Oryctolagus cuniculus: one gene and its partners. The protein of the gene in region 3 interacts with the protein of the main gene of each other region in a pairwise test. Links are inferred from orthologs where the notes say so. Each region holds a gene or a part of one and is shown on either strand. Other genes may lie near its edges.

The links.
Region 1: the proteins of DISC1 (region 3) and YWHAZ interact in binary tests that used the Homo sapiens proteins (3 or more experiments, as listed by UniProt). The link is inferred for Oryctolagus cuniculus from reciprocal best matches to the Homo sapiens genes DISC1 and YWHAZ.
Region 2: the proteins of DISC1 (region 3) and SPTAN1 interact in binary tests that used the Homo sapiens proteins (3 or more experiments, as listed by UniProt). The link is inferred for Oryctolagus cuniculus from reciprocal best matches to the Homo sapiens genes DISC1 and SPTAN1.
Region 4: the proteins of DISC1 (region 3) and AKAP9 interact in a two-hybrid assay, tested with the Homo sapiens proteins (2 studies listed by BioGRID and IntAct). The link is inferred for Oryctolagus cuniculus from reciprocal best matches to the Homo sapiens genes DISC1 and AKAP9.
Region 5: the proteins of DISC1 (region 3) and PPM1E interact in a two-hybrid assay, tested with the Homo sapiens proteins (2 studies listed by BioGRID and IntAct). The link is inferred for Oryctolagus cuniculus from reciprocal best matches to the Homo sapiens genes DISC1 and PPM1E.
Region 6: the proteins of DISC1 (region 3) and RANBP9 interact in binary tests that used the Homo sapiens proteins (3 or more experiments, as listed by UniProt). The link is inferred for Oryctolagus cuniculus from reciprocal best matches to the Homo sapiens genes DISC1 and RANBP9.
Region 7: the proteins of DISC1 (region 3) and GNPTAB interact in a two-hybrid assay, tested with the Homo sapiens proteins (2 studies listed by BioGRID and IntAct). The link is inferred for Oryctolagus cuniculus from reciprocal best matches to the Homo sapiens genes DISC1 and GNPTAB.

What each region holds. Positions count from the first base shown.
Region 1 is NC_091437.1:126,360,566-126,364,582, reverse strand, and holds the start of YWHAZ (14-3-3 protein zeta/delta), read left to right. Parts: upstream 1-1,217; 5' UTR 1,218-1,358; intron 1,359-2,032; exon of another isoform or gene 2,033-2,078; intron 2,079-4,017.
Region 2 is NC_091432.1:231,847,213-231,850,712, forward strand, and holds part of SPTAN1 (spectrin alpha chain, non-erythrocytic 1), read left to right. Parts: intron 1-561; coding exon 562-639; intron 640-779; coding exon 780-935; intron 936-1,117; coding exon 1,118-1,322; intron 1,323-1,729; coding exon 1,730-1,911; intron 1,912-2,246; coding exon 2,247-2,490; intron 2,491-2,685; coding exon 2,686-2,808; intron 2,809-3,500. UniProt on the Homo sapiens protein: Fodrin, which seems to be involved in secretion, interacts with calmodulin in a calcium-dependent manner and is thus candidate for the calcium-dependent movement of the cytoskeleton at the membrane.
Region 3 is NC_091444.1:51,179,889-51,184,033, reverse strand, and holds the start of DISC1 (disrupted in schizophrenia 1 protein), read right to left. Parts: upstream 2,801-4,145; 5' UTR 2,716-2,800; coding exon 2,655-2,715; intron 1-2,654. UniProt on the Homo sapiens protein: Involved in the regulation of multiple aspects of embryonic and adult neurogenesis. Required for neural progenitor proliferation in the ventrical/subventrical zone during embryonic brain development and in the adult dentate gyrus of the hippocampus.
Region 4 is NC_091447.1:43,719,358-43,722,857, reverse strand, and holds part of AKAP9 (A-kinase anchor protein 9), read left to right. Parts: coding exon 1-1,630; intron 1,631-3,500. UniProt on the Homo sapiens protein: Scaffolding protein that assembles several protein kinases and phosphatases on the centrosome and Golgi apparatus. Required to maintain the integrity of the Golgi apparatus. Required for microtubule nucleation at the cis-side of the Golgi apparatus.
Region 5 is NC_091448.1:34,142,863-34,146,940, forward strand, and holds the start of PPM1E (protein phosphatase 1E), read left to right. Parts: upstream 1-1,278; 5' UTR 1,279-1,569; coding exon 1,570-2,027; intron 2,028-4,078. UniProt on the Homo sapiens protein: Protein phosphatase that inactivates multifunctional CaM kinases such as CAMK4 and CAMK2. Dephosphorylates and inactivates PAK. May play a role in the inhibition of actin fiber stress breakdown and in morphological changes driven by TNK2/CDC42.
Region 6 is NC_091436.1:157,016,933-157,020,432, forward strand, and holds part of RANBP9 (ran-binding protein 9), read left to right. Parts: intron 1-334; coding exon 335-446; intron 447-527; exon of another isoform or gene 528-1,028; intron 1,029-2,899; coding exon 2,900-3,030; 3' UTR 3,031-3,500. UniProt on the Homo sapiens protein: May act as scaffolding protein, and as adapter protein to couple membrane receptors to intracellular signaling pathways. Acts as a mediator of cell spreading and actin cytoskeleton rearrangement.
Region 7 is NC_091442.1:104,763,459-104,766,958, reverse strand, and holds part of GNPTAB (N-acetylglucosamine-1-phosphotransferase subunits alpha/beta), read left to right. Parts: intron 1-2,764; coding exon 2,765-2,926; intron 2,927-3,309; coding exon 3,310-3,489; intron 3,490-3,500. UniProt on the Homo sapiens protein: Catalyzes the formation of mannose 6-phosphate (M6P) markers on high mannose type oligosaccharides in the Golgi apparatus.

The DNA of each region.
Region 1 (4,017 bases), on a different chromosome or scaffold from region 3:
CGGCTGGGTGGAGCCGGGCCGCGAGACACCTGCAATTTCCGCTCCTCTGCCCCCTCTCCCTGCCGCCGGGCTGGGTCAGCCGGGGCCCTGGGCACTAGGACTTTGCTCAGATCTAGCCTTCGGAGACAAAATGGCTATGACCTTTATGTTCTATAGCCAAGTCTGATTTGGTAGGGGGGAAAAAAAACCCAAACTACCCAACGGGAAAGGCAGCCGTTTCGTGTGCTGGCGTCCACCTAAGCAGCCGGCCTCTCCCGCTCGGGAGCGAGGCTTTCTGAGAGTGACCGCGTCTCCGCCAGGCCGTGCCTGTCGCCCCCGCCTCGGCGCCCACCCATTGTCCTCTCGCCGCTGTCACCGGGCGAGGATCCCAAGCTCCCGATTGGAAAAGCTGCCCGTCACTCAGCCACACTTAGGGGCTGGTCGCTCCGTCCTCTTTTCCGAACCTTAAAAGGTCTAAGGCCTCTTCCCCCGCGCCGACAGGTAAAGCGGCGGCCGTGGCCGCGGCAGGCAGGCGCCGCGCACCCAGGTCCGCCCCGCCCTGGGCAGCCGCGGGCGCACGGCCGGGCGGGGTCCTGCGGGGAGCGCGCCGCACGCGGCCCCGCCCTCGCCCTGCCCCTTCCCCCAAAAGCCGCTCACAATGCCCGGCCGCCCCAGCCGGCCCCGTAATCCAGCCCTCGGACCGCCCTACGGCAGTCACCACCGCGAAGCACGGACCCCGGACCCCGGGGCGGGCCAGGCCTCAGGGCGGGGGCGGGGGGGGTGGGGGCGCGAGCGAAAGGTCCCGGATGTTGCTGAAGCGGAGCCCCTTCTGAAGAGGGAGTGATTGGCGCAGGCGCAGGCCAGGTCGAACGCTGAAGTGGGGGTGGGGACACATTTTCTTCCCGTAGGATTAGCGGAAGGGAGAGCCGGAGGATAGGGGCGGGGGGGGGGGGCGCGGCGTCCGAGAGGAAGACGAGGAAGCGGGGTGGCGGTGGGGAGGGAAGTACAGCAGCTTCCTGCCCAGGCGCACTCGGGGAACGAGTAGACAAGGTGGAAGCCGAGCGCCGGTCGCGGGGCGAGGACGCGCGCTCCTTCGCTCGCCCTCTAGCGCGGGCGGGTAGGGCGCGCGCCGGGGAGCGGCGGTTGCGCTAAGGCCCCCGGAGCTGTGGGCACCAATCAACGGTTGCCATAGCAGCGTTTGACGTCATCGTGCGTGTGGTGCCCCTGCTGCCGGGGCTGGTGATTGGAGGAAACCCCGTGTCTGCGGAGCGGCTGTAGCCTGTGAGCAGCGAGATTCAGGGACAGAGTCTCAGCCTCTCCGCCGCCGCCCAGAGCCCGGTGAGCCTCCGTCCGTCTGTCGGCTCCTACTCCGGACACAGGTAAGGGACCCGGCCGCAGCCGCCTCGCCCCCGGCCGGCCCTCGGAAGGCTTGGGAGCCGACCTCGCCTCCGCGGCCCCATCGGCCCGGCCGTCGGGCGGTAGCGGCGCGGAGCTGAGGCGGAGTCTCCTCAGGCAGACACGGGCGGCGGCTTCTCTTCCGCAGGACTCGGGCGGGCGGCTTGCGGCCGCCTCCGGCTACATGTTTCCGGGCCAGTGCCTCGGCCCCGATCGGCGCCCGCTCCCCTCTCTGGATCCCCCGGGTGTGTGGGGGGGGATGGGAAAGGCGCCCCCGACACGAGATCCCCGGGGATCCCCCGGCCGCCGGCTCCCCACGGCTGCCGAGGCGCGGCCGAGGCGCCCCGGCCGCGTTCCGTCCCCACCCTGGCCCGTGCGTCCCCGCTTCCGCCCGGGAGAATGACTTGGCGGCCGCGGCGGGCATTGCAGTGGCGCAGGTGAGGCCGCCCCCTCCCCGATCCGGTTCCCCGGCTCGCCCCCTCCCCCGCTCCCGGGCGCAGCCTCCGCGCCCCGCGGTGCGATCGCCCTCCCCCACCCGGGGCGCGGCGCGGCCGGGAGGGGCCGGGGCCGCGGGGACCGGGCCGCCGCGCTCGGCGCTGCCCCACGTCGGGCAGGGCGAGGCCGCCGAGGGCCAGCCGGCGTGGGGAGGGGCCGGCCCGGGACCGGCGGCGGCGGCGGCGGGAGGAAGGACTTGAATTTTCCCGGTTGGGATGGGGGAGGGGACTGGTTCTTTTCTACTTGTGGTGGGGCGGGGGTGGCGCGGGGGAGCTCCGGGCCCAGGTCGGGTAGGGGAGGTGGGGGAGACGGCGCTCGGCTGCTCTCGCTCTCCGGCCCCCCCCCCCCCCCCCCCGGGCTGGAACCAGGGGCCCTGATCCTGCTTTGCGGGCCCCGAGCGTAACAGCCGGTGGTGGCCTCGCCGGGCTGGGTGTGGCTCTCCGCCCCCTCCCCCACCTGCTGCAGCTGTCGGGTCCTTGGACTCTGGATGGGCATCGGTGGCGGGGAAGACGCGGGGTGGGAGAGCGGGGTGTGTCCGCGGCCGAGCTGGTAGTGGTTCCGCTTCTGCGGGCGGTGCTGGCGTCTCGGTCCCCGGGTCGGGCGCCCCCCTCCACTTGGGCGGGGGCGCGGGCTGCTCCGCCCTCCTGCTCTGGGCGGGGGGTTAACACTCGGCGGTAGGTTGGGCTCCTTGACACAGATCCGCCATGACAAAGAGGGAGAGTCGGCGACTTGTGCGAAGGCACCGGCTTGGGCGGGGCCTAGGAGGAGGGGTGGTTGCGGATTGCGCGCACGGAGGCTTTGCACTTTAAAGTCACGGTCTGCGGGTTTGCGTTGCACCCTCCCCGACGCCTGACGCCGCGGAAGGGTTAAATGGGTGCGGCGAGTCATCTCCATATAGAGGCGAGGCCTTGGAGCACTAGTTACTCCGAGAAACCTAATCCACTTCCCCTTGTCCCGGAGGGGTTGTAGAGGAAAACCTTTGTATTGGTTTTAAGCCATTTTTCTTTAGAAGCAATATTAAGCAGAAAATGTTTGGCGATTTTATGGGAAGGGTTATTTTTGAAGAACCGAGAAGAAATGTTCGATGATAAATGTTAACTATTTTGCACATTGAGATGGCCCTCCTCGCATACGCTCTGGCCAGTTTCCTTTTGAGTTTTTAAGCAGTATGGTGGGGTTTCCCTGGGAAGATAAAGAATGAGATATTGGGAAGTCAGTTCCCCTGGGAGATGACAGTGGCCCTTCCGTCCCCCGTTTTAATCTAATAGTACATTTCATTTCAGGCTCTGTGTGTGCTTTTAAATCCTTTGTTCTGTGGTATCACAGTACGGTGTAGTACCTTTCTCTGCTGTTGAGCACCGTCTGAAAGGCTATCTTATAAGATAAATGCAGTGGAGGTAACCTGAAAAGTACGGGGAACCTTAAATGAGGGAAGGAGAGCTAGGGGAAAGGGCAGCTTGAGTGATAACATCTCATTAAATTGTGAGTACTAGAAGCGGTGCAGTAATTCTATTTTGAAACTGGAACGGGGACATTGGAAACGCAGATGCTTCCAATGTGATGAATTTTACTGCTCTCGGATGGAATTGAAATGAAAGGGACCCTTGGGCCACTTTGTGAAGCATGTATGCACATAAGAAGGTATAAAGGAGGCCTTAGGGTCAGTTAGAGAGTGATCCTTGGTGATGGCTTTATATTCAGAATATTTTAAGAATGAGCAATTTGTGTGTTCCAGAAATTGTCATGCTGTGATCAGCTGGCAAATGTTGCTATATTGGGTGGGAGTGACACCAACTAAATTTAATCATCCCTGATCAGAGTAAGTATTAGGAAAGAAAAAAGACATGGACTGTGGTTCTGGAGATAGGGATGACGGTAGTGGCACTGTTCTTTGTTTGCCTTGTTTTCATGAAGGAGGAGAAGCTGTTCTAATTTTGGGTCTCATGATAGAGATTTTTGGTCAAGTGAGATAAGGGGTAATTTTAAAAGGCAGCCTTTTGACCAAATGTGCAAAACTGGTGTTCCTTGCTGTGAATTTCCCTCTCCATTGTTGTTGTGAGTTTTTTTTTCCCTGTCGTGACCATCCTTTTGTGAGGCTGCATTTGAATTCCTCCAGTGAACAGTCTTTCACAGACACTAGGTTTGAAG
Region 2 (3,500 bases), on a different chromosome or scaffold from region 3:
TTGGGCCATTCTTTGCTGCTTTCCCAGGCCACAGCAGAGAGCTGGATTGGAAGTGGAGCACCTGGGATACAAACCGGCGCTCATATGGGACACCGGCACCACAGGTGGTGGCTTTGCCCGCTGCGCCACAGCGCCAGCCCCCAGAGGTCTCTTTTTCTAAAGCATCTCTGAACAGATTGTTGGAGGATCTGTGTCCCGAGCACTTAAAATCGCAGGTGATGATACGCCGTCTTGTTGGAGACAAAGCGATGAAATACCTGCTGGGTGGCAACCTGGCAGCTGAGGAATTAGGAGTAATTCAGTTAGGCTCTGCATCTGACCCCTGTCAGACACCAGGTCGCTGCTGTTATCTGCATTCTTGAGTGGAGCTAGCACGGTCTTGCTGTATCTGGCTACTAACACCAAGCACAAGTTACAGGAGAAGATGTCACCAGCCTTGACGCTCGCCTCGACCTGTGCTGACTTCACAGTGTTCTGTCCCTGAGCAGCCGTGGCCTCTCCCTTGAGATGAAGGTAGGGAGTCGTGTGCTTACCAGTGAGAAACTGTGTCTTCCTCTCTAGGCTTTAGATGAGTTTGCAACCAAGCTGATTCAGAACAACCACTATGCAATGGAAGACGTGGCCACCCGCCGCGATGCTGTAAGTGTCCAGGCTCTGTGTGTGCCTCCCTGTCTGCACGTGAATATCCCCTCTACGACAGATAATGCAGTGGAATCCCGTGAGCTGGACATCTTGTTGGGCGTGAGGACTGGAGACTCACGGGAATCCTTGTCTTCCAGCTACTGAGCCGCCGAAATGCCCTTCACGAGCGAGCCATGTACCGCCGCGCCCAGCTGGCCGATTCCTTCCACCTGCAGCAGTTCTTCCGTGATTCTGACGAGCTCAAGAGCTGGGTCAACGAGAAGATGAAAACGGCCACGGATGAAGCGTATAAGGTAAGGCGCTGTGGCACTGCTGTGCAGCACTGGTCAGCCAGCCAAGCGCAGCTCCCACAGAGGCAGTGCCCAAAGAGCGCCCAGTCTAACGTCCACTGACGTGCATTGCGCGTGAAGAGGAGTACGGAGGTAACGTGGCAGCGCAGGTTTAAGGTCGGCTCCCTTCTTTCCTTTGTCGGCAGGACCCATCCAACCTGCAGGGCAAAGTTCAGAAGCATCAGGCCTTTGAAGCTGAGCTCTCAGCAAACCAGAGCCGCATCGATGCCCTGGAGAAAGCCGGGCGAAAGCTGATTGACGTCGACCACTACGCCAAGGATGAAGTTGCAGCTCGCATGAATGAGGTCATCAGCTTGTGGAAGAAGCTGCTGGAGGCCACCGAGCTGAAAGGTGGGGACAGCGTGACGCTGCATTGTGCCGGCCTTTCCCTCTCGTGCAGGGTTTGAGGGACACACCCCACCCCGCCAGGCAGGGTGTGGGGGACTGCTTGCTGTGTAGGAGCTGGCCTGGGTTCTTGTCGCTTTGCTGGCTTGGTCCGTGTGGTCGAGCACGTGAGGTTGACAGGGGAGTCTGAGAAGGAAACAGTTGGGCTCCACTGTGAGCCAAGGGCACGAGTGCTTCTCACGGCCTGTCTCCTGACGTCTGGAAGGCTTTCCCAGACAGCTTCCGATTTACCCTGTAGGAAGTAGGACAGAGGTCACAGAGTGTGCTTTCATCATCTCTGTAATACAAGTGAAGCGCTGTTGGTGCCAGCGTCGTGTTAACCAGCAGGAACTGGAACTTCCCTCCCTGGACAGGAATAAAGCTTCGCGAAGCTAACCAGCAGCAGCAGTTCAACCGCAACGTGGAGGATATCGAGCTGTGGCTGTATGAAGTGGAAGGTCACTTGGCGTCCGACGATTACGGCAAAGATCTTACTAATGTCCAGAACCTCCAGAAGAAGCACGCCCTGCTGGAGGCCGACGTGGCCGCGCACCAGGTAGCCTGCGCCTTGGGGGCTGGACGCAGGAGTGGCGGGACTTTGAAGACCAGGCTAGTCTGGGGAGGGATGCGGTGTGCTGGCTTTCCTAGATGACTCGGGTGCTTCTGCTGCTCACATTAAGTAAGTGAAGTCTCACCTGATAGCCTCTGGGAGCCTGAAATGAGGAAGGAGACGGCAGCCAGACCCCCGTGGGGATGGCAGCAGGCCCATGTTAACTTTTTTGGAGATACCATAACCCCTTACCCAAAAGATCAACGTTAGCCTGAAAACGTCCAGAACATAGTGGCTCAACACCAGTCCAAACTCACGACTTTGTCCTGTGCTGTTGGCAGGATCGAATTGACGGCATCACCATCCAGGCCCGCCAGTTCCAGGATGCTGGCCACTTTGATGCTGACAATATCAAGAAAAAGCAGGAAGCCCTCGTGGCTCGCTATGAGGCTCTCAAGGAACCCATGGTTGCCCGAAAGCAGAAGCTGGCCGATTCCCTGCGCTTGCAGCAGCTCTTCCGTGACGTGGAGGATGAGGAGACGTGGATTCGAGAGAAGGAACCCATTGCTGCATCCACCAACAGAGGTCAGTCTGCCTGCACCAGGTGGGGATCAAGCCAAGGAAGGGCCGTGCGGTATTGGCATGGAGGGGACGCACGTCGGAATAACAGGGTCAGGTTTAAATTATTGCCCTGGTGCCGTAGGGGTAGTGAAGAGTTACAGGTTGGTGCTGACCTCTCTCTTCGTGGCTGGGTAACGAGGGAGTGTTTCCTGCTTCCAGGCAAGGATTTGATTGGAGTCCAGAATCTGCTGAAGAAGCACCAGGCCCTACAAGCAGAAATCGCCGGACACGAGCCCCGCATCAAAGCAGTCACGCAGAAGGGCAGCGCCATGGTGGAGGAAGGTGAGTGGGGTCGTCTCCGGACACGGCTGGTTTTGCTCTGTGTGTCCCCGCCCTTGGATGTGGGCACGGCTTCCTGGGCTAAGGGGCTGGGATCCACCTCTCTCTTACTGTGTCACCCGGACGGGGCCTCACGTTTTCTGAGCCTGGATTTCCTGCATTCACAACACCTCCTCCTGATGAAGTTGTGAGGATCACATGAGCTGCGTAGGTGGAGCGGCTGGTGGAGGCCTGCGTGCGTGTCGCAGTAACTGAACCGCGGGGCGCCGGCTTCACTCTGTCTATGATGTATCAGGATGCCTACTGTGGCGTCTGCTTCTTAGAGTCTAGAAAGATCTACAAAAGGAGTTGGAAAGGGCCTGGCCCGCCGGTCACAGCAGTGAACGTGCCAAGAACACACAGAGGCTGCTTCTGATCCCTCTGTGACTGTCCGTCCTCAGTTCCCCTGCCTGGAGTGGCCACTGTGGCACACTGAGTCCTGGCTGCTCCTCACCTCCAGCCCAGCTCCCGCTAATGCACCTGGGAGGCAGAGGTGATGGCCCAAGTACTTGGGTTCCTGCCACCTGTGGCTGGCGTTCCCAGTCCTGGTTTTGGCTCAGCCTCATTGCAGTTGTTTCGGGCATTTGGGAGGCGAACCAGTGAATGGAAGATCAGTCTATCTATCTTTCTCTCCTGCCTCTCTGGCATTCTACCCT
Region 3 (4,145 bases):
TAGTGAGATTTCAGTGGTTTTACTGTTTGTTTGTTTGTTCGTTTTTACTTGTTTGGAGTTTTCTCTACTTCTTGTAATGAATACATGTTGCTTTTAGAAAAACAAAAAAAAGTAATAAACTTAATTTAGGAAACAAGTGAACTAAGAGTTGTTAATGCAGCACAAAGATCTGATCTTCAGTCTCTTCTGTTTAAAGTTCAATTTCCCGCCGGCGCCGCGGCTCACTAGGCTAATCCTCCACCTAGCGGTGCCAGCACACCGGGTTCTAGTCCCAGTTGGGGCGCCGGATTCTGTCCCGGTTGCCCCTCTTCCAGGCCAGCTCTCTGCTGTGGACAGGGAGTGCAGTGGAGGATGGCCCAAGTGCTTGGGCCCTGCACCCCATGGGAGACCAGGAAAAAGCACCTGGCTCCTGGCTTCGGATCAGCGCAATGCGCTGACCGTAGCGCGCCGGCTGCAGCGGCCATTGGAGGGTGAACCAACGGCAAAGGAAGGCCTTTCTCTCTGTCTCTCTCTCTCACTGTCCACTCTGCCTGTCAAAAAAAAAAAAAAAGTTCAATTTCCCTCTGCCAGCATCATGGCTGAACATGAGGTCTCCACAAAAACATCCTGGGATGCAGCCCTGTGAGGTGACCTTGACACCAACAGCCTTCATCCCAGCGTCACCTCGTGTGCCATCCTAGGGTCCTGACACATTTAGGTGTTAAAGTATTAATCCAGATTCCACTTCTTCTGAGATCTGCAAGATCATCATTCGTTCTTTCAAGCTTTCCATGCCTTTGTTTTTCATTGTTTCAAGAGAATAACCTGCATCGGATTTTACAGAAATAGGGATGAAAGAAATCTCCGATTTCTTCAGTCACCTATGCAGGGCTAATAATTTACCCATCCATTTTATGATATGCAGGGTGCATCATTAGCTATGATCTAATACAGGTCTGCTCTGAACCGTGGCTCCATTCACTAACATCTTTTCAGTCAGAGGTTGAAAAGACAATGGGGAGAGGTGTCCACACAGGGGTGCACTGCTGGCTCTGCACTGAACAGCTATGTGAGCTTGGGAAAAAAGCAGGTGACCCTGAACCTCAGCTTTGCCATAGGAAAACAAGGACTGATTACCAGCCCCATAAAGGCTTGGGGAAGAGTTCATCAAAAGAATGCACAGTAGAGCTCCCAGCACATCTGGAAGTTGTAAAAAGTTGCAGATGTTAGGATTCCTGCTAGTAATATGATGTCCTGTATGTGCACAGTGACTCCTGTTCCACACGATGTCTTACATGTTTTACTTTATTTGAACCTCAGGTAGCACTATTGGTCTAAATGGCAGGAATTACTATTCCCCTTTTCTGGTTTTTTTTTGTTTTTTTTTTTTTTTTTTTTGTAAGTAGTTAAGAAAAACTGAGGTCCAAGGTCACAAAGCCCACAAAGTAGGTCTACTGTCCAGGGCTGGGTTCTTGTTCTGTGGCAGAGTCTGAACTGAACCTCAAGGGACTCCATGCGTCATGCCTGAGCACAAGAAAACCCAGGGTCTTTTACAGCACCCTACTCTTCGTACTTAAATCAAACCAGTATTCCTTTAAACGCCACAGTATTCAGTTTTACTTAGGAAAATTAGCAACGACAGTCTTTTCATCCTGCAGTCTGTCTCTGGAGTAGAGCTAGGGGCTTCACATCCACCACCACACCGAAACGGCGCAGCAACCCTCTGGGGAAAGGGGTACTGTCATGGTCCCCATTTTAAAAGTGGGGAAACTGAGGCACAGCTAAGTCCAGGATTGAGAAGCAAAGACACTGTCTCCAACTCCCAGCTTTCATGGCCCTGGTGTTTCCCAGCTCACGTTTGTGTAACCAGTGAGACACTTTTAGCAAAGTGCTTTCACATCCATAGACCCAAGGAGGCAGGGAGACCCCGTCATTAGTGGCCACTGTGACTTCTGAGGGAAGGGATGCACCCAGGACATAATGCACACCCTGACTCCAAATCTCACGGTCTCCAGAAAGTTTCCAATACTTCTGCATGTATTTTAAGAGCGAGAGATACAAGTCCTGTCATGCTTGGAAAGCAAACATCTACGCCATGACTTCAGTGTCACCACTGCGAGCTGACGGTGTAATCAGGGTCTGGGCAGTGGTGTCCCGCCGAAGCTCCGGCGAGGGCTTTGCCGTCGCCAAGTTCCAAGCCTGCAATGAAACTGCACCGTGGCCTGTGGAGGACGCGCCCTCACCAGCTCCTTACCCCACTCTCAACTTCCACCTTCCAGGTCCCGCGGGTCCCGGGCGAGGGCGTGCAGGGCCGCTCTGTCCTGCGGGGGTACGGATGGACAGGACCCATCCCAACTCCAAGCACGCCCCTGGGGCCTTCCGCCGCCGCCCAGGACCCGTCAGACGCGAGCATGGGTCCGCCGCGGACTGCTCTGCAGAGTCCTGCGGGCCAGGAGGGACTTGGAGGGCTGGGCACAGAGCTGACAGCCCCAGACCCTCTCCTCCCAAACCTGCACCTTACGCGCCCTGTTGCGGTTTCCCGCACCTCTGAAGGGGCGCACCGAACTGGAGCTGTGAAGAGAGGCTCGCCCAGACCTACTGAGGGGGAAAGGCGCACTTCCGGCCCGGCCCAGACCTCCCGGGACCCATTCTGGCTGCTGTGGCGGAGCCCCTACCTGCGCCGCGGTCCGCGCCGCCTCCGCCGGCCGGGGCGCCCTGGGGACCCCGGCGCAACATGTGCCGGGCCGCTGGCTCCTCCAGTTCCGCCTTGGCTGCCTCCTGCTCCGGTCCCCGGGCCGAGGGAGGCGGATTGGGAGGAAGTAGCGCTCTGGACGGGAAGTGGGGAGGGGGCTGAGGGAGAAGAGGGAGGCTCCTTCCTTCTCATTACAGAGCGCAGTGGTTTCCTTTGCAACTGGGTCACACACAGGGCAAGCATACATCCAGTCCCTTGGCTGGGACAGGCGCAGCGGGCAGGCTCTTGGTGGGTGCCTAGTACCTCGGGACCCCAGAAAGTTTGTTCTTCGCTCTGGATCCCTTCTGGACAGAAGCAGGACAAGGGAGATGCAGGCAGGAAAGGCTGAGCGGCCTTCAGCATAGGACCTTAGCAAGGTTCTTCCCAGATGCCTAGTCTTGGGAAGTGACCAAAATGTGAGTGCGGGAGTTAGCATCAGGTAGACTCATTTTATTCCAAGTGCAGGGCAAGTGCCGAAGGTGACATCGAAGGATAAGCATGAAAGCGGTTGTTTAGAAATAAAAAGAATTCCAGCTTTTAGACTCTTCTGGCAGCACTGGGCAGGCCACAGTCCGTTGCAAGCGTCTAGTTCAGTTCCAAGCATCTACACCATTGACTCGCCTACTAACACCTTCTCTTTGGCTCATTCAAAAGAGCCAAGGAGAATCCCCCATGTAATTCATGCTACAGAACAGTGCGATAAGGAAGGGCAAGGCGTGGTTTTTTTTTTTTCTTTATTTAAAAATTTTATTTATTTGACAGAGTTAGACAGTGAGAGGAGAGAGACAGAGAGAAAGGGCTAGTCCTGGTTGCTCCTCTTCCATTCCAGCTTTCTGCTGTGGCCTGGGAAGGCAGTGGAGGATGGCCCAAGTGTTTGGGCTCCTGCACCTGCATGGGAGATCAGGAGGAAGCACCTGGCTCCTGGCTTCGGATCGGCGCAGTGCGCCGGCTGTAGGGGCCATTTGGGGAGTGAACCAATGGAAGGAAGACCTTTCTCTCTCTCACTGTCTATAACTCTACCTGTCTAATAAAAATAAAAAAAGAGCTTAAAAAATATCACCAACTGGGCCAGCGCAGTGGCTCACTAGGCTAATCCTCCGCCTGCGGTGCTGGTACCCCAGGTTCTAGTCCTGGTTGGGGCGCCAGTTCTGTCCCGGTTGCTCCTCTTCCAGGCCAGCTCCCTGCTGTGGCCCGGAAAGGCAGTGGAGGATGGCCCAAGTGCTTGGGCCCTGCGCCCACTTGGGAGACCAGGAGGAACACCTGGCTCCTGGCTTCGGATCTGCACAGCGCACTGGCCATAGCAGCCATTTGGGGGGTGAACCAATGGAAGGAAGACCTTTCTCTTTGTCTGTCTCTCTCACTGTCTAACTCTGCCTGTCCAAAAAAAAAAAAAAAATCATTAACTGACAAAAGCACTGTATTTTGTTTTGTTTTG
Region 4 (3,500 bases), on a different chromosome or scaffold from region 3:
GTCCCTTGGTACAGTGGAAGACTTGAAAGCTCAGATTGTTTGTGCATCTGAATCCAGGAAGGAACTAGAATTAAAACATGAGGCAGAAGTTACAAATTACAGGATCAAACTGGAGATGTTGGAAAGAGAGAAGAATGCTGTGCTAGACAGAATGGCTGAGTCACAAGAAGCCGAACTAGAGAGACTTAGAACACAACTTCTGTTTAGTCATGAAGAGGAACTTTGCAAGCTGAAGGAAGATTTAGAAATTGAACACCGCATAAACACTGAAAAGCTTAAGGAAAACTTGGGCATTCACTATAAACAGCAGATAGATGGCTTACAGAATGAAATGAGTCAAAAGATAGAGACCATGCAGTTTGAAAAAGATAATTTGATAACTAAGCAGAATCAGTTGATTTTGGAAATTTCAAAACTAAAAGATGTACAGCAGTCCCTTGTGAATTCAAAATCTGAAGAAATGACCCTTCAAATCAGTGAACTTCAAAAAGAAATTGAAATACTCAGACAAGAAGAAAAGGAAAAGGGTACACTTGAACAAGAAGTTCAAGAATTACAACTTAAAACTGAATTACTGGAAAAACAAATGAAGGAAAAAGAGGATGACCTTCAAGAAAAGTGTGCACACCTTGAAGCAGAGAATAGCATTCTTAAAGATGAAAAAAAGACCCTGGAAGACATGTTGAAAACACATACTTCTGTTAATGAAGAAGAAGGAGTGATTGTCGTGGATCCCGTTGAGTCCAAATCCAAAGACAGTAGCTGGCAAAATGAAATAGAAATACTTACAAAGCAAAATGAGGATCTCAAGCAAAAATGTATTCAGCTAAATGAAGAGATCGAAAGGCAAAGAAATACATTTTCATTTGCTGAAAAAAACTTTGAAGTTAACTATCAAGAGTTACAAGAAGAGTATGCTTGCCTTCTCAAAGTAAAAGATGATTTGGAAGACAGTAAAAATAAGCAAGAATTAGAGTATAAAAGTAAGCTTAAAGCACTTAATGAAGAACTTCATTTGCAAAGAATAAATTTACCTACTGTGAAAATGAAAACCTCAGTTTCTGATGAGGAGAAAACTTTGGTAACAGAGCCATTGGAACTTGGTGAAGTTGTTGAGAAAGATACAACAGAACTGATGGAAAAACTTGAGATAACCAAGCGAGAAAAATTAGAACTCTCAGAGAGACTGTCGGATCTTTCTGAACAATTAAAGCAGAAACATGTTGAGATTAGTTTTTTGAGTGAAGAAGTTAAATCTTTAAAGCAGGAGAAAGAGCAGTTTTTATTGAGATGTAGAGAGCTTGAAATCATAATCAACCACAGTAGGACAGAAAACACCCATGTGGATGATGTTCCATTAAGTTCTTTAAAAGACGGAGCTGTGACTGTGACAAGCAGGGATTCTGGATCCTCGGTTTCTCAAATAAATCAGTGTTCTGGTGAAGAATCAAAGCTCATGGTGGAGGACAAGATTCCTTTTGCAAATCTGACCATTAGAAAAGAAAGCGAGCCGGAACAGTTGTTTTTGGATCACTTGCCATTGGTAACAAATGAATCATCATTTGGGGCAAGTGAATCAAGTGAAAGTGATAAACTTCAGCAGGAACTCCGTGTACTTAAATCAGAACAGGTAAGTTTACTCATTTGTATATGATAAAGCAGAGTGAAAATACATTTCATAATACAAGTTTTCACCTTGATGAGACATTCATATTCATACAAGAGAAATTTAATTCTCAACTGGGCTTATTTAGTTCAGCTGTTTTTTCTTTTTTCTTTTAAAGATTTATTTATTTATTTGAAGGAGTTACACAGAGAGAGAAGGAGAGACAGAGAGAGGTCTTCCATCTGCTGGTTCATTCCTCAGTTGGCCACAACGGCCAGAGCTATGCTGATCCGAAGCCAGGAGCCAGGAGCTTCCTCCGGGTCTCCCACATGGATGCAGGGACACAATGACTTGGGCCATCTTCTATTGCTTTCCCAGGCCACAGCAGAGAGCTGGATCGGAAGTGGAGCAACCAGGACTCCAACTGGCACCCATATGGGATGCCGGCTCTGTAGGCAGCACCTTTACCTGCTATGCCACAGCACCGGCCCCAGCTGTTTTTTCTTAAACATTGTTGCCTCTTCTTCATTTAATCCACGTTACGTATTGTGCTCAGAATATAAAACATACTGATGGTTTTACATTTTCTTTGGAAATATAAATGTTTAAATGACTGTTGAGAATCCCAGCTATAGAAAAGTTATTAATTTTATAATCTTTCGTTACAATCTCAAAGATTGGTTTTAGAGTTTTTATTTCACACTGGTGTTTTCAAGGTTCCTCAAGTGCAAATGAAGTCCTAGGCTTTTTAAGTACTGTTAATAATTTGTCATTAGTTACAAAATTGTATTTCCCTAGAGAGGAAAAAAAAAACACTGAGTTCTCCCTGTTATATGTTAATGTTAGCCGTCGCAAAACACACCGAACACCGGAGTAAGGGAGAGGGTTTATTGGGGAACACCCAACAGTCCAGAGTGAAGGGGCGCCGAAGGAAAAAGAGAGAAGGAGACTGTAAGAGAGAGAGAGAGAGAGAGAGAGAGAGAGAGAAAGGAGAGAGACGAGAGGAGGAGAGGAGCCAAGAGAGAGCAGGAGAGAACCAAGAGGGCACGTGCTCAGGAACAGGCCCTTTTAAAACTTTGCCTGAGGGTGGGCAGGGAAGCAGGAGCAGCAAATCCCATTAGGATGGGGGTGGAGCATGACCACAGAGGTTGGGCCATGTGGCCACCTGGCTAAAACTGTGCTAGTTTCCTAACACTCCCAGAATCTTGTGATACTTAAAGGAGAAAAAACAGTATTAACTCTGAATATATCTAAGTAATTTAAAAATGTATACAGTGAATAATATTAGATCACTCCTGATCATTTATATTTGCCAGTACTGTTATTAAAAAATACTCAGAAAACTGAGTAGCTTCAGTAAAATGATGCCAACTCAGATTTTGTGTGTTTCTTAGGTAACAAATACTTACTGGGTCTCCTGCAGTGATGTGAGTATGTTGGAGAACATGGTTCTGGGACTCAAGGAGCATGTCTCTAATGCAGTGAGCCAGGAAACCAAGTAGGGTGATTAGAAACTGGTAAATGTGATGAAGAGGACAATGTGGAGGTGATGGTGGTGTCCCAGTTCCACACAGTGGTCGGGAAGGGTCCCTTGGAGGAATTGACACTGGAGCTGAGATCTGAATGAGAAGAAGAGTGTGCCGTGTGGGAATTAGCCATGGGTGACTGTGGAACAGGATGAAGAGCTCTGTAATGAGTTAGAAGAGGAAAGTGGAAGCAGGATTTGAAGAATGAAGAGACTGAACGTTAGCCTCACAGGCTTGGAGGAGTTTAGATTTCATTCTAAGCGTGGTGGTGGGAAGCCATTGGAAAGGTTCTCTTTTTATTTCCAATGACTTACATTTATCTCAGGTCAAATACAGATTTTACTTTTTAAGTCATCAGAATAGAATGA
Region 5 (4,078 bases), on a different chromosome or scaffold from region 3:
CTTAATCTTAAAATAACAGTATCAGGTCAGGGATTTAGAATACAGTATTATATGAAAACAGTTGGCAGGGAGACTCCCTCTTCTGCCAGTAATAACTGACAGGAAATGGTATTTCAGACCCTAAATCCTACTGAAATCCAGACACAATAAATGGAGAATTTGGGGTGAATAGTTTGTTAGAACATGTTTTTCAAAGTAGAGAAAGAATCACCAGGCTCTTGCTGAATTATATGTTGCCATGGACATGGCAGTATGCAATAATGATGCTATCATCTGTACAGCTGTATAAAAACATAGTGTCTCTCTCCCATCCCCCTAAGGCATGAAAATAATAGGTTTGTGTGTAGTTTGGTAAGAAAATTAGAATCATTTAGTCGTTTCAGTTTCAATCTAAGAGAGAGATGGGGAGTGGAGAGGAATAGCAAACAAACTGGAAAAAAAATACATACTATGTAGTAAAGCATAAAACACATTTTGTAGAAACTAAAGAGGGGTATCTTTGGTGTACTAGAAAACTGAGTGAAATCCACCAAAATGGATGACTTCAGAGAAAAGACTTGTATTAAGTCCTATCACTTGTGTGTGACCTTGAGCAAAGGCACCAGGTCTTTAAGCCTGGATTTCCTAACCCATATAATAGAATCAATAATGGCAATGTCCTGTACCTCCAGGGCTATGACAAGGATTAAAAGAGTGAAAACACCTTGTATACTTCAAAGTCCTGTACAAAGGTGTTCGGTAGACTAGATTTTCCGAGACAGGAGTTGAGGAAAAAGTCTAAAAAGACTTGAGGCTGAGGAGTTGGGTTCAAATTCCAATACATAGCTAGAAGTTTTGAGACCTCAACGCAAGTAAAATACTATCTCACCTTTCAGTTTCCTCTTTTAAAGAGGAATATGCTACATCACAAAATCGAATGAGAACCTACACCTGCGGGGTGTTTGAGGCCTCCTCCCTGGAACTGCTCTTTCAATGAATGTCATTAACAAAAGCTGTTCACAATGTAGGATCTTTGGTTCAAGGTATGCCAAGGTAAAAGAGGATCATAGGGAATAAATGGATAAATGCAGTCGAAGTGGGAACCAACAGACTTGGAGCTGAGTCCCTTCTTAAGCACGTGAGGCTGGAGTATCCCTCCAATAAAGATATTCGGAGTTGGACGCCAGGCAAGTCCGGTGCCCTCTCGACTCTACTACGGACTCGACGAGAGGGACCCTGAAATTCTTCATTAGAACAGGTTGCTATGGCGACAGTCTCCAGGCAGCGTGGGCTGAGCTCGCGGTAGGGATAGAGGGTGGGCCGCCGCTGGACCCTGTGCGCGTGCCCGCCACCAACTTTCCCTCCAGACCCGAGGGGCGGCGCGCTCCGCCCCCGCCCCTGGGCCGCGCACGTCGGCGTTCGGTGGCGCGCACGCCTGCGGGAGCCCTCTCCAGGCAACCTAGTGCTGATCGCTCGTGCCGGTGCGGCCGTTAACCGCCCTAGCGGGAGCCCGAACCTCAAAAGCAGCCCCCTCCCCTCTCTGGGCTTCCCCCGACCCCCTTCCCGGTCGGCCCCGGGGCATGAGCAGCGATGGCTGGCTGCAGCCCTGAGGAGAAAACTTACCGGCGTTTTCTGGAGCTATTCCTGGGCGAGTTTCGCGGACCGTGCGGCGGCGGCGAGCCGGAGCCGGAACCTGAACCCGAGTCGGAGCCGGAGCCTGAACTGGTAGCCGCTGAGGCGGCCGAAGCTTTGGTCGAGGAACCGGGGGAAGAGGCGGCCGCGGTAGCCGCGACGGAGGAGGGGGAACCGGAGCAAGACCCAGAGCCTGAGGAGGAGGCAGTGGAGGAAGAGGCGGTGGCGGCGGGTGAAGGCGAGGAAGAGGAGGAGGCGGCGGCAGCCGCGGCCCCGGGGCACTCGGCCGTGCGGCCGCCGCCGCAGCCCCAGCTGCCGCCGCTGCCCCCGCTGCCGCGGCAGCTGTCTGAGCGCATCACCCGCGAGGAGGTGGAGGGCGAGAGCCTGGACCTGTGCCTGCAGCAGCTCTACAAATAGTTAAGTAGCGGGGCTCGGCTGGGGGTGGGCCCGCTGTCCTCGACGCGCCGGCCTCCGAAGAGGCTCTCCCTGTCCCCACACCCCCCACTCCTCTCTCATCTACTCCTCACCCCCGCACCCCGCCGCTGAACGCAGCCCGGCTGCTCGGGCTCGGCCGGTGGGCTGCGGGCTGCCCACGCCCGCCGCGGCCCCCGCGCCGACTGCCGCCTCGGAGCCGCTCTCCGGCTGGCTCGGGCCCTTCTTGCCCCTTCCCCTCGGCCGCGCACTGCTCATTCCACTTCACACTCCCCTTCTGCCTCGGAAAATCCTTCCTCCTGCCTGGCCCCGAGTTTTTTCTTCTGGCCAGCTCGCCTCTGCTCCGGCAGGTTGCCTCCCAGCCCAGGCTGTGCGTTCGCGGACTGGGCTCCCTGTTGTCTGGTGGAGAGGTGCCTCCTGCGTAACGGCCGCGGCGGGCACAGAAACCCCGGCCCGGCGTCCTGGAGAGGGGACGCCCGAGTCGGTGTTCCGTTAGGCGCTCCGTGTTGGAAGTGAGGCGCTCTTCGGGAACCCGGTCTTTTAAAGACATTTAACAAGCCGTTACTGACGGAGGTGGGAAAGGATTGATTGAGAGGAGTAAGCAGAATTTTACAAGTGAGCCTTCAGGTGAGAGCCATAATTCATTAAAGTGGAAAAGTCAGGCTGCTTTGATAAAATTGCAATTAGGTACAGTATTTTCAGTCCATTAAGTAGAAGGGGGGGGGGGCGTAGCAGATGGCTTAGCCACACAGATGAAAGTCTAAAATAGAAAGGTCAAAGCTTTGCCTTTCATCCCAGTTCTGGTTTTTATAGACTTGAAATAGATGCAGTTTACAATTGGTGTTTCTTTCCAAATGGAATTGTTCTGAAACAACTATCGATAGAGGAAAATACTAACGAAGCTTTGAAAACATTGGCAGACCTGGGAGTCTTTTGCCACTCAGCTGATAGTTTAATGAAAGGTGTTACTCTGACCATCCAGAAAGTTTACTACTGCAAGATTCACCGGAATTAAGTTCACACTTCTTGCATTTTCTCAAAAGCCTAAATAAAAGAAAGGCCTATTTTGTCTTCATCCAGCCTAATGGACACCCGATCAAATCGTTTTCCCGTTAAAGCTGCGGCTTATCAGCAGGGAAAAAAACATGTAACAAATCACCTGTAGAAGTAGACTGGGTTGATGTCTCAATTTATAAGCAGTCTAAAATTGTAAAATTACATTTTGGGAAATGTAAAAGATAAAATGGCGGGTAATACTGCTACCCTGAGATAAACAGCATTAACATTTTGGAGTATTTCTTTCTAGTCTTTGTAAGTTATCATTAAAGATGTCATTTTTAACACTGTTTGAAGACACTTAAAGCTCTCTGCTTAAAATGTTTAGTAAAATGAAGGAATTTATGTCAGCATCAGCCTAATTCTATTTTGACAATAAATTCTTACCTTTATAAATGCAGTTGCAAAATTAAACACGATGTAAACATTAGAGAATGTCCAAAACAATAATTGCCAGTTTAGTATAGCCCTGAATGTTTGTCATTCAAGAAGTTTTTCTTTTTTAATGATACCTGTATGAAGATGTGTATTTTTTCACATGGAAAAGAAGCAGAATTAATTTTAATACATATAGAAATTGGGAAAGTGATTGAATTGAAATATATATAGAAATTGGGAAAATGATTGAATTGATTAAATGTCCACCTAATTAAGAACAGAAGTTTGATTTTGAAATAAAATTAGCAAAATTATAATTGGAAAATATTTTATCTTAATCAGACTTTATCATTTAAACTGTATTTTGTTTAGAAGCTATTAATGTATTTTTATTCAGATGTAAAATGGCTGGCTTATTTATGTAGAATATCTTTAAAGTCTTTACAGGTTTCAAAAGTTTCAAAAAATATACTGCTGTGTTTTTATTTTATTTATAAAAGAAAAACATTACTTAAAGAATCAATGCTGAAAGATTGTAGGGATAGATTTTTCTGTCTAAGCACTTCATTTTATATGTGAAAAAACTATGAACCCAGATTCA
Region 6 (3,500 bases), on a different chromosome or scaffold from region 3:
CAGCCAGACCCTGTCCTTTAATGTCAGATTCTGTGGGTGGAAAGAAGTTGTACGGTGAAGTGTCTGAATGTCCGGACTGCCCGTCTGCCTTCACCAGTACACCGTCTTTCTATCAGTGTTTGAAGGGGGGAGGCTGGTTAGGGGAAAGGCTGCTAACAAGGAAAGTGCAAACCAGTTAGGCTGTGCTGTGTAACCCTGCCATTCAGAACAGAAAGCACCCCGTCACTGGCCTCTACCTTAGAGCTGCGGGATCTTGCTCGTCTCCACTTGGAGCCCTGTGAGCACAGCAGCTGAACTGTTTGAACTGAAAGACAAATTGTTACATTTCCACCAGGATGCCTTCAGTTTACTAGCGTATTCCGACCCCTGGAACAGCCCAGTTGGAAACCAGCTTGACCCAATTCAGAGAGAACCTGTGTGCTCAGCTCTTAACAGTGCAATATTAGGTAAGTAAAGCCAAACAGCACAGCCTGTTGGATTCTGTGAGTATTCTGTGCTGGCATTTCTATTGATGAACTCACAAGGGAAATGTTTTATGTATTTTAATACAGAAGTACTTTCACACATAAAAACTGTTCTCCTTTATCTCAACTCCAGATTACATGATCTAAATGTAATAGAAACAGTAGGTTGAGGTGCATCTTCCGGTGTTTGGAAAGTAGTTTTTGTGTGCATGTTTTTACATGTTTGTAGTAGCCATGAATGTCTGTCTCTTCTCATTCACAATGATAGACTTTGGTGGTCCTCGTGTTTGAATTCAAAGTTTTACTCTACCAAAGACTTAGCCCCTCCGCCCCCTTATTGAAAGGTGTATTCCTGCTGCTCATTTCTAGGCTAGGAATCAGGGCAGCATTTTCCTAAATCTTCCATTGGCTAGACCATGGCTGTCCTCCAGTCCAGGAGAGAAGCACGTGGGCTTGCAGGGAGACGGCCTCTTGTTTTTCTGGGTTATCAGGGCCTCCAAGTTGTCAGTTGTAGAAGGTTGTGAGAACTGGATTAGGGTCAGTGGGAGGACAGGGTTAACTTGCCTGAAAAGCAAAATAGGACTTTAAGGTGCTGTACAACCATTCTGTATAGCTGAACACATTTCGTTCAGTGGATTGATCAGAACTGGGCTTCTCGATTGGCAGCTGTAGAACGAATTTGAGGTTATTAATGAAAACACAGTTCAGGTGTTTGGTCCACAAAGAGTGAGGTGAGAAACAAGCAGGGTGAACTTGAAGAGGTCAGGAAATGGAGGTTTCGATGGAACAGGCAAAATGTGAAAGAAATGAGAGCCGGCAAGAGCTTGAACATCTGAGAAGTCTGGGTGCGACCCTGTGGAGGCCGGGAGTCCTCGCTGGTGCTCCCTGCTACCTCATTCCCACCTTTCTCAAGGTGTTTTAAGAGTAGCCCTAGCCGGAGCCACATGTCTCACAGCTCCTACCACGCCTAGGGTACAGATGAGGGGGGCTTCGAGGTGTCTGAGTACCTGGTCAGCACCAACCTCTGGAGTCAAATTAAGTGTGTGTCTAGGGGAACCACAGTAAACGGCAGGTCCTCGCCCTACAAGGATGGGTGAGGAAGAGAACTGTCCCTGGTGCACAGCCCACGGTGAGCGCAGAGTGGGAAACGCCATCCGCTCTTCCTGTGAGCGCAGGATACTTCGGAGTTCTGCGACTGCATAGACTACACAGAAATCCACGTTTCAGTTTCTGGGCAGTTCTCTTCTGTTAGGTAAGAGGGATTCCCCCCCCCCCCCCAATCTGATTCTGGGATCTAACACCCAAGAAAAATGAGATTCCAGTTAGGAAGTTGATGCTGTGCTATTTGGCCTTGTGAGGTTGTGAGCTTTTAGTCAAGTGTTTCAAACTATTTTAGGAAAATGAGAGCAGTGTCCCAAAGTGACTTAGACAGACAGGGAGGTTGTAATGCGGGCCAGGAATGTAAAGAAGCCTTATTATTTGTTAGGGAATAGTAATGTCTTTTGTGTTACAGTTTGCTTAAACTTAGAATTTGTATATAAGCAAAAAACCATCAAAGAAAATGTATTAGATATGCAGGGAAAATCATGGTTTATTGTAATTGTCACTGAAACTATACTATGGGTAATCCTGATGTAGCTGTTAGGTAGTAGTCAGATGTGGAAAGAATTTCTGAACAAAAGTAAGCAGCTCTCAGGATAGTTTATTTCTTTGGGCTCTTGGGGGGGAACTGGATATGTGAGGGTGCTTTGACAAATTCATGGAAAATGGAAATCAAAGGCTTATTTAGCTACATAGTTTTTGAAATCCATGCATGGTGTGTTCATAATATACATTTTTTCCCATGAATTTTCTGAAGACCCCCCCTTATATATTCTGAAGTACTATGCTCTATTGTGGATGTTTGGCTATAAATACTGTGTAATTTATACAACGTATAACTCCTATAAAATTGACAAGATTATTAAAGATTGTTGTGGATAAGTATGCATGTGTATAAATATATGCTGTATTACGTAGGTTCATGTATGTGTAGTAAATGCATTAACTGCACATAATTCCTATTCCTCTGGCCAAATGGTAATAGTAGTAAGAGTGCACCTTTGTGCAGGGCTGTGCGCTTCCCTCAGACACAGGCCTCCTCCCTCGCAGTGCTGTGTCTGCCCTTTAATCCTCTCAGCCTTCACCAGGCTGTGTACCTGTCTGCACGCCTCCTTCCCGTAAGTTTCAATTCTTGGATGTGTTTGAGTCTTTTCTTCTAGAAATTCTCCTACAGCCATACTTGTGAGCTCTGAACCGAGGATGAAGCTAAACCAGCCACACTGTGTTTTGCCCTTTTTCAGTTACGCCTACTAACAGTATTTTCCTGATGGGGAGATGTTTTTTAAAAAATGTTTCACTAATTGCTATTTCCATTCTTAACTCTATTTCCTCAGAAACTCACAATCTGCCAAAGCAACCTCCGCTTGCCCTAGCAATGGGACAGGCCACACAGTGTCTGGGACTGATGGCTCGGTCAGGGATCGGATCCTGTGCATTTGCCACGGTGGAAGACTACCTGCATTAGCTATGCATTTCAAGAGCTCACACCTATATTGTGGCATTTAGTCAACACGGAAGTAGACCAGCTCTGCTGATTTGAAATTTAGATTTTTTTAATTATGTACTGGGGACAGGTTTTTGTCGCTTTACATTGCTTCCTAGTTTACAGCATGATGCAAATGATTTTCTAACTTAGTGTTAGGAGAAATTTATTTTCCATCTTTAACCTCTTAGTTGTCTAAGAGTTAAATATTACTGAATTTCAGACGTTCAAATTGATCATCACAAATCCTATAAAACAATTACCTAAAACAAACCAAAAAAGTCCTGCCTTTTTTGTGGGGGGGAGAGGGGGGAGGAAACGGAACAAGTCGTGTTTGTGTTAGCATGTGGGTGACGTAAACTTCAAACTGGGAGATGTTCCGACCCCCGCTCCTACATAAGCATTCAATCAGTGTAACTTGCAAAATGCATAAACATCGACAGTTTGAATTC
Region 7 (3,500 bases), on a different chromosome or scaffold from region 3:
CCTGTCAGGAAAAGAGTGTAGTAAAAAGTGGAGCACACTTACCAGTGAAAGCCTGGCTCCTGTTTCACTCTCCAGCCAGTTTCTGTAGTTTCTTCTCTGACGCTGGTTGGCGATATCCGTTGACTTTTGTAAATGGAGCTGAGAAGGTCATTTCCCTTGGTATTAGATAGTCAAGTTTTTATTTCTAGAGCTTAGCTCAGCCAGCACCTCCTCCAGCAGGGCTGATCACTCACCCCTCGTGTTCTTCCTGCCTCGGTTAACACAGCTACAGTAGCAGCTACCACTCTGTATTGGTAGGTATCTGGTTGGCTGTCTGCCTGCTGGGGCTGCTGGGTAGTCACCATCCATCTCAATGTATCACACAGACCAGCAGCAGAAGCAAAAGTAGATGACCATACCTAGATGTTACATAGATCTGAGTTTGAATCTTTAGCCTGGATATTTACTGAAATCCCAGGGCAATGTCTAGCAAATATGCACTCAGTCAGTTGTAGAAGTTGAAGTGAAAAAGTTTCTGTATTAGGAAGTTAAAATATAAATGTCAAGGCATTAATTTTTAACTTTAATATGTTGCACCTTTAACATACTTTAAAAATTTCTTTATATATTTACTTGAAAAAGAAGACTTCCTATCCATTGGTCTACTCCCAAATGCCTGCAACAGCTGGGGCTGAAGCCAGGACCTGGAAACCTCAGTCCAGGTCTTCCATGTAGGAGTTAGGAACCCAACTACTTGAGCCATCACACCGCCTCCCAGGGTCTGCATTAGTAGGATGCTAGAGTCAAGAGCTGAGCCAGGTATTGAACTCAAGCACTCTGATGTGGGACGTGGGGATCTTGACTGGTAAACTAAAACATGTGCCCCATAACATATATTTTATCTACAGCTTCTGTGAAGTTGATCATTGGGCAAACAAAACAAGAAATACTGTTATAAATCAGTTTCCAACAGCAAATGACCTTTGCTAGCAGCAGAAATCAAGGATCACGGTTGGATATTGTTCCATTTCAGGAATATATTAGTCTCAGATCCCTTTCTATATTTTGAATTTATCTTAAGTAAGCTTAAAAATCTATGAAAATTTAAAATGTCTTTGAAATTTCAAAATAATTCAATTTGGGTAGATGAGATTAGATTAAAGGTATTTACTTACAAAATTTAAATTCTATATTAGTATATAGACTTATTACCTATACTGATATTATATATTCATATATTACTAGAATTGTTTATTCTAGAGTAATGGTGTTTTCCACTCCAGAAGCCCTCAGAGGTGCTGTGGGAACCATTGTGAGCAGGAGGAAAGGGTTAGGGGAAGCTGGGAGATAAGCAGGTACCCAGGCAGATGGATGTCTGCCCTGCAGGGCATGCCTCCTAACTTTCACGGCATACCGAGGCAGGGTGTTGACAGCAATGAAAGCTGACTGTATTGGGTGCTTAGTACATGCCAGGCACTGACAAGGTAAAAGAAAATAGTGAGTCAAGAAGGAATTACATATATGTAAGAGTTAATGCCTTACTCAATAATGGACGGAAGAAGATAGAAATGCAATTCTAAGTCTAGCTTCTTGTTTTTTAGCCTTGGTAAACTTGGGGAATTGCTAAGAAAATGAGCTAAGTGTAGTCATGGACCCATTGAAAGAGCCCAAAATAAGCCCATCATAAATTTGTGTTTATTGTATAAATTAAGAAAGAAGGGAGGGCGTTGTGATGCAGTGGGTTAAGCCGCAGTCTGCAGTACTAGCATCCTATATGGATGTCAGTTTGTGTCCCAGCTGCCCTATTTCCAATCCAGCTCCCCACTAAGGCACCTGGGAAAGCAGCAGAAGGTGGCCCAAGTGCTTGGGCCCCCTGCCACCCACATTGGAGACCAGAAGAAGCTCCTGACTCCTGGCTTCCACCTGACCCAGCCCTGACCATTGTGGCGCAAACGAATGGAAGATCTCTGTGTCACTCTGTCACTCCCTCTTGCTTGGTAACTCAGCCTTTCAAATAAAATCTTCTAAAGAGTATGGAAATTAGGAGAGAAGACCACCAGCTCCATTAGAAGAGCCAGTTCAGCAGAAGAATTTGGCAGTCCTAAATTAGTGGTTTCAGTCCTGTCCCCATTTTCTGATCTGCAAACCTCTTTTCATAGGAAATGGTATGATATAGAGTCAGAACATACAGGGGGATGGGGACTCCAGCAGGGTGCAGGCTGACATTATGATGCTCCCTCTTAGATTTATTATTGCTTGAAAACTCTCCCCTGAAAGGTGGTCTTCCTGTAGAAGTACTTCAGGAAACCCTGACAAAGATGCCCTTCCTAGGCATGTGACTAAGAAAAAGTGCTCAGACACCTCACTGTGCTTATCAACAATTCCAGTGAAGTCACATTGTGGAGTTTTCTCCAGTTTGAGCAGATTTGTAATATTTTTGATCAAAAGTCACCAGCTGTTAGCCAGCACGTGCTTTGTTTGAATGTAGGGAAATAAAAACATTTGAGCCAGCGTTGAAAAGTTGGGAAGATATCAAATGAGAGTGGGAGGTCCTGGCATCTCAGGAGATCTGGCAGCTGTTGGCAGCATTGAGCAGTAGCTGCAGCCTTCAGATGGGTCCTGCTCTGTCTGGTCAGTTGACCACCCCTCCCACTCCTTGTTTTAAGGTCTTCTTTTTTTTTTTTTTTTTTTTTTTTTTTGAAACTGCTTGGGTATTTCAAGATTGAAGACAAAAGTGGGAATTTGAAGGTGTTTCTTCCTTTGTGTAACTCTCGTTATTTAATAGTTGCAGTTGTATTCAGAGGCCAGTGTGGCACTTCTAAAATTGAATAACCCCAAGGATTTCCAAGAACTGAATAAGCAAACTAAGAAGAACATGACCATTGATGGAAAAGAACTGACCATAAGTCCTGCATACCTGTTATGGGATCTGAGTGCCATCAGCCAGGTATGGGTTATGGAGATTGTTTCACAGTTTGAGGGTTTAGAAGGATAAAACTATGTAAGCCACTACGTTAAGAGAAGGAAAAGGACTTGAAGTGAGTTGATTGAAACTTTTCAAATTGTCCACTCACCACCATTGCTTTAATATTAATTGAAGTGACCTAGAATTGGATCCAGACACCTTTTTATAAATATATTAAAGAAATGCTGTATTTGAGTTTGGGGATTTTTATGGTAGACTTAGTCTTTCACATTTTTGTCCTATGTAAAATTAGATTCCATCTTTGCGAGTCTGCCAGAGCACTCTGAGCACAGGGGAGAGGAGGAGGAGGAAGAGAAGGTGTGCTTCTGGGTATTTCACCTGTCCACGCTCCATGTTTCTCTCAGTCCAAGCAGGATGAAGACATTTCTGCCAGCCGTTTTGAAGATAATGAAGAGCTGAGATACTCACTGCGCTCTATTGAGAGGCATGCACCATGGGTTCGAAATATTTTCATTGTCACCAATGGACAGATTCCATCCTGGCTGAACCTTGACAATCCCCGAGTGACAATAGTAACACACCAGGTGCTTGACTT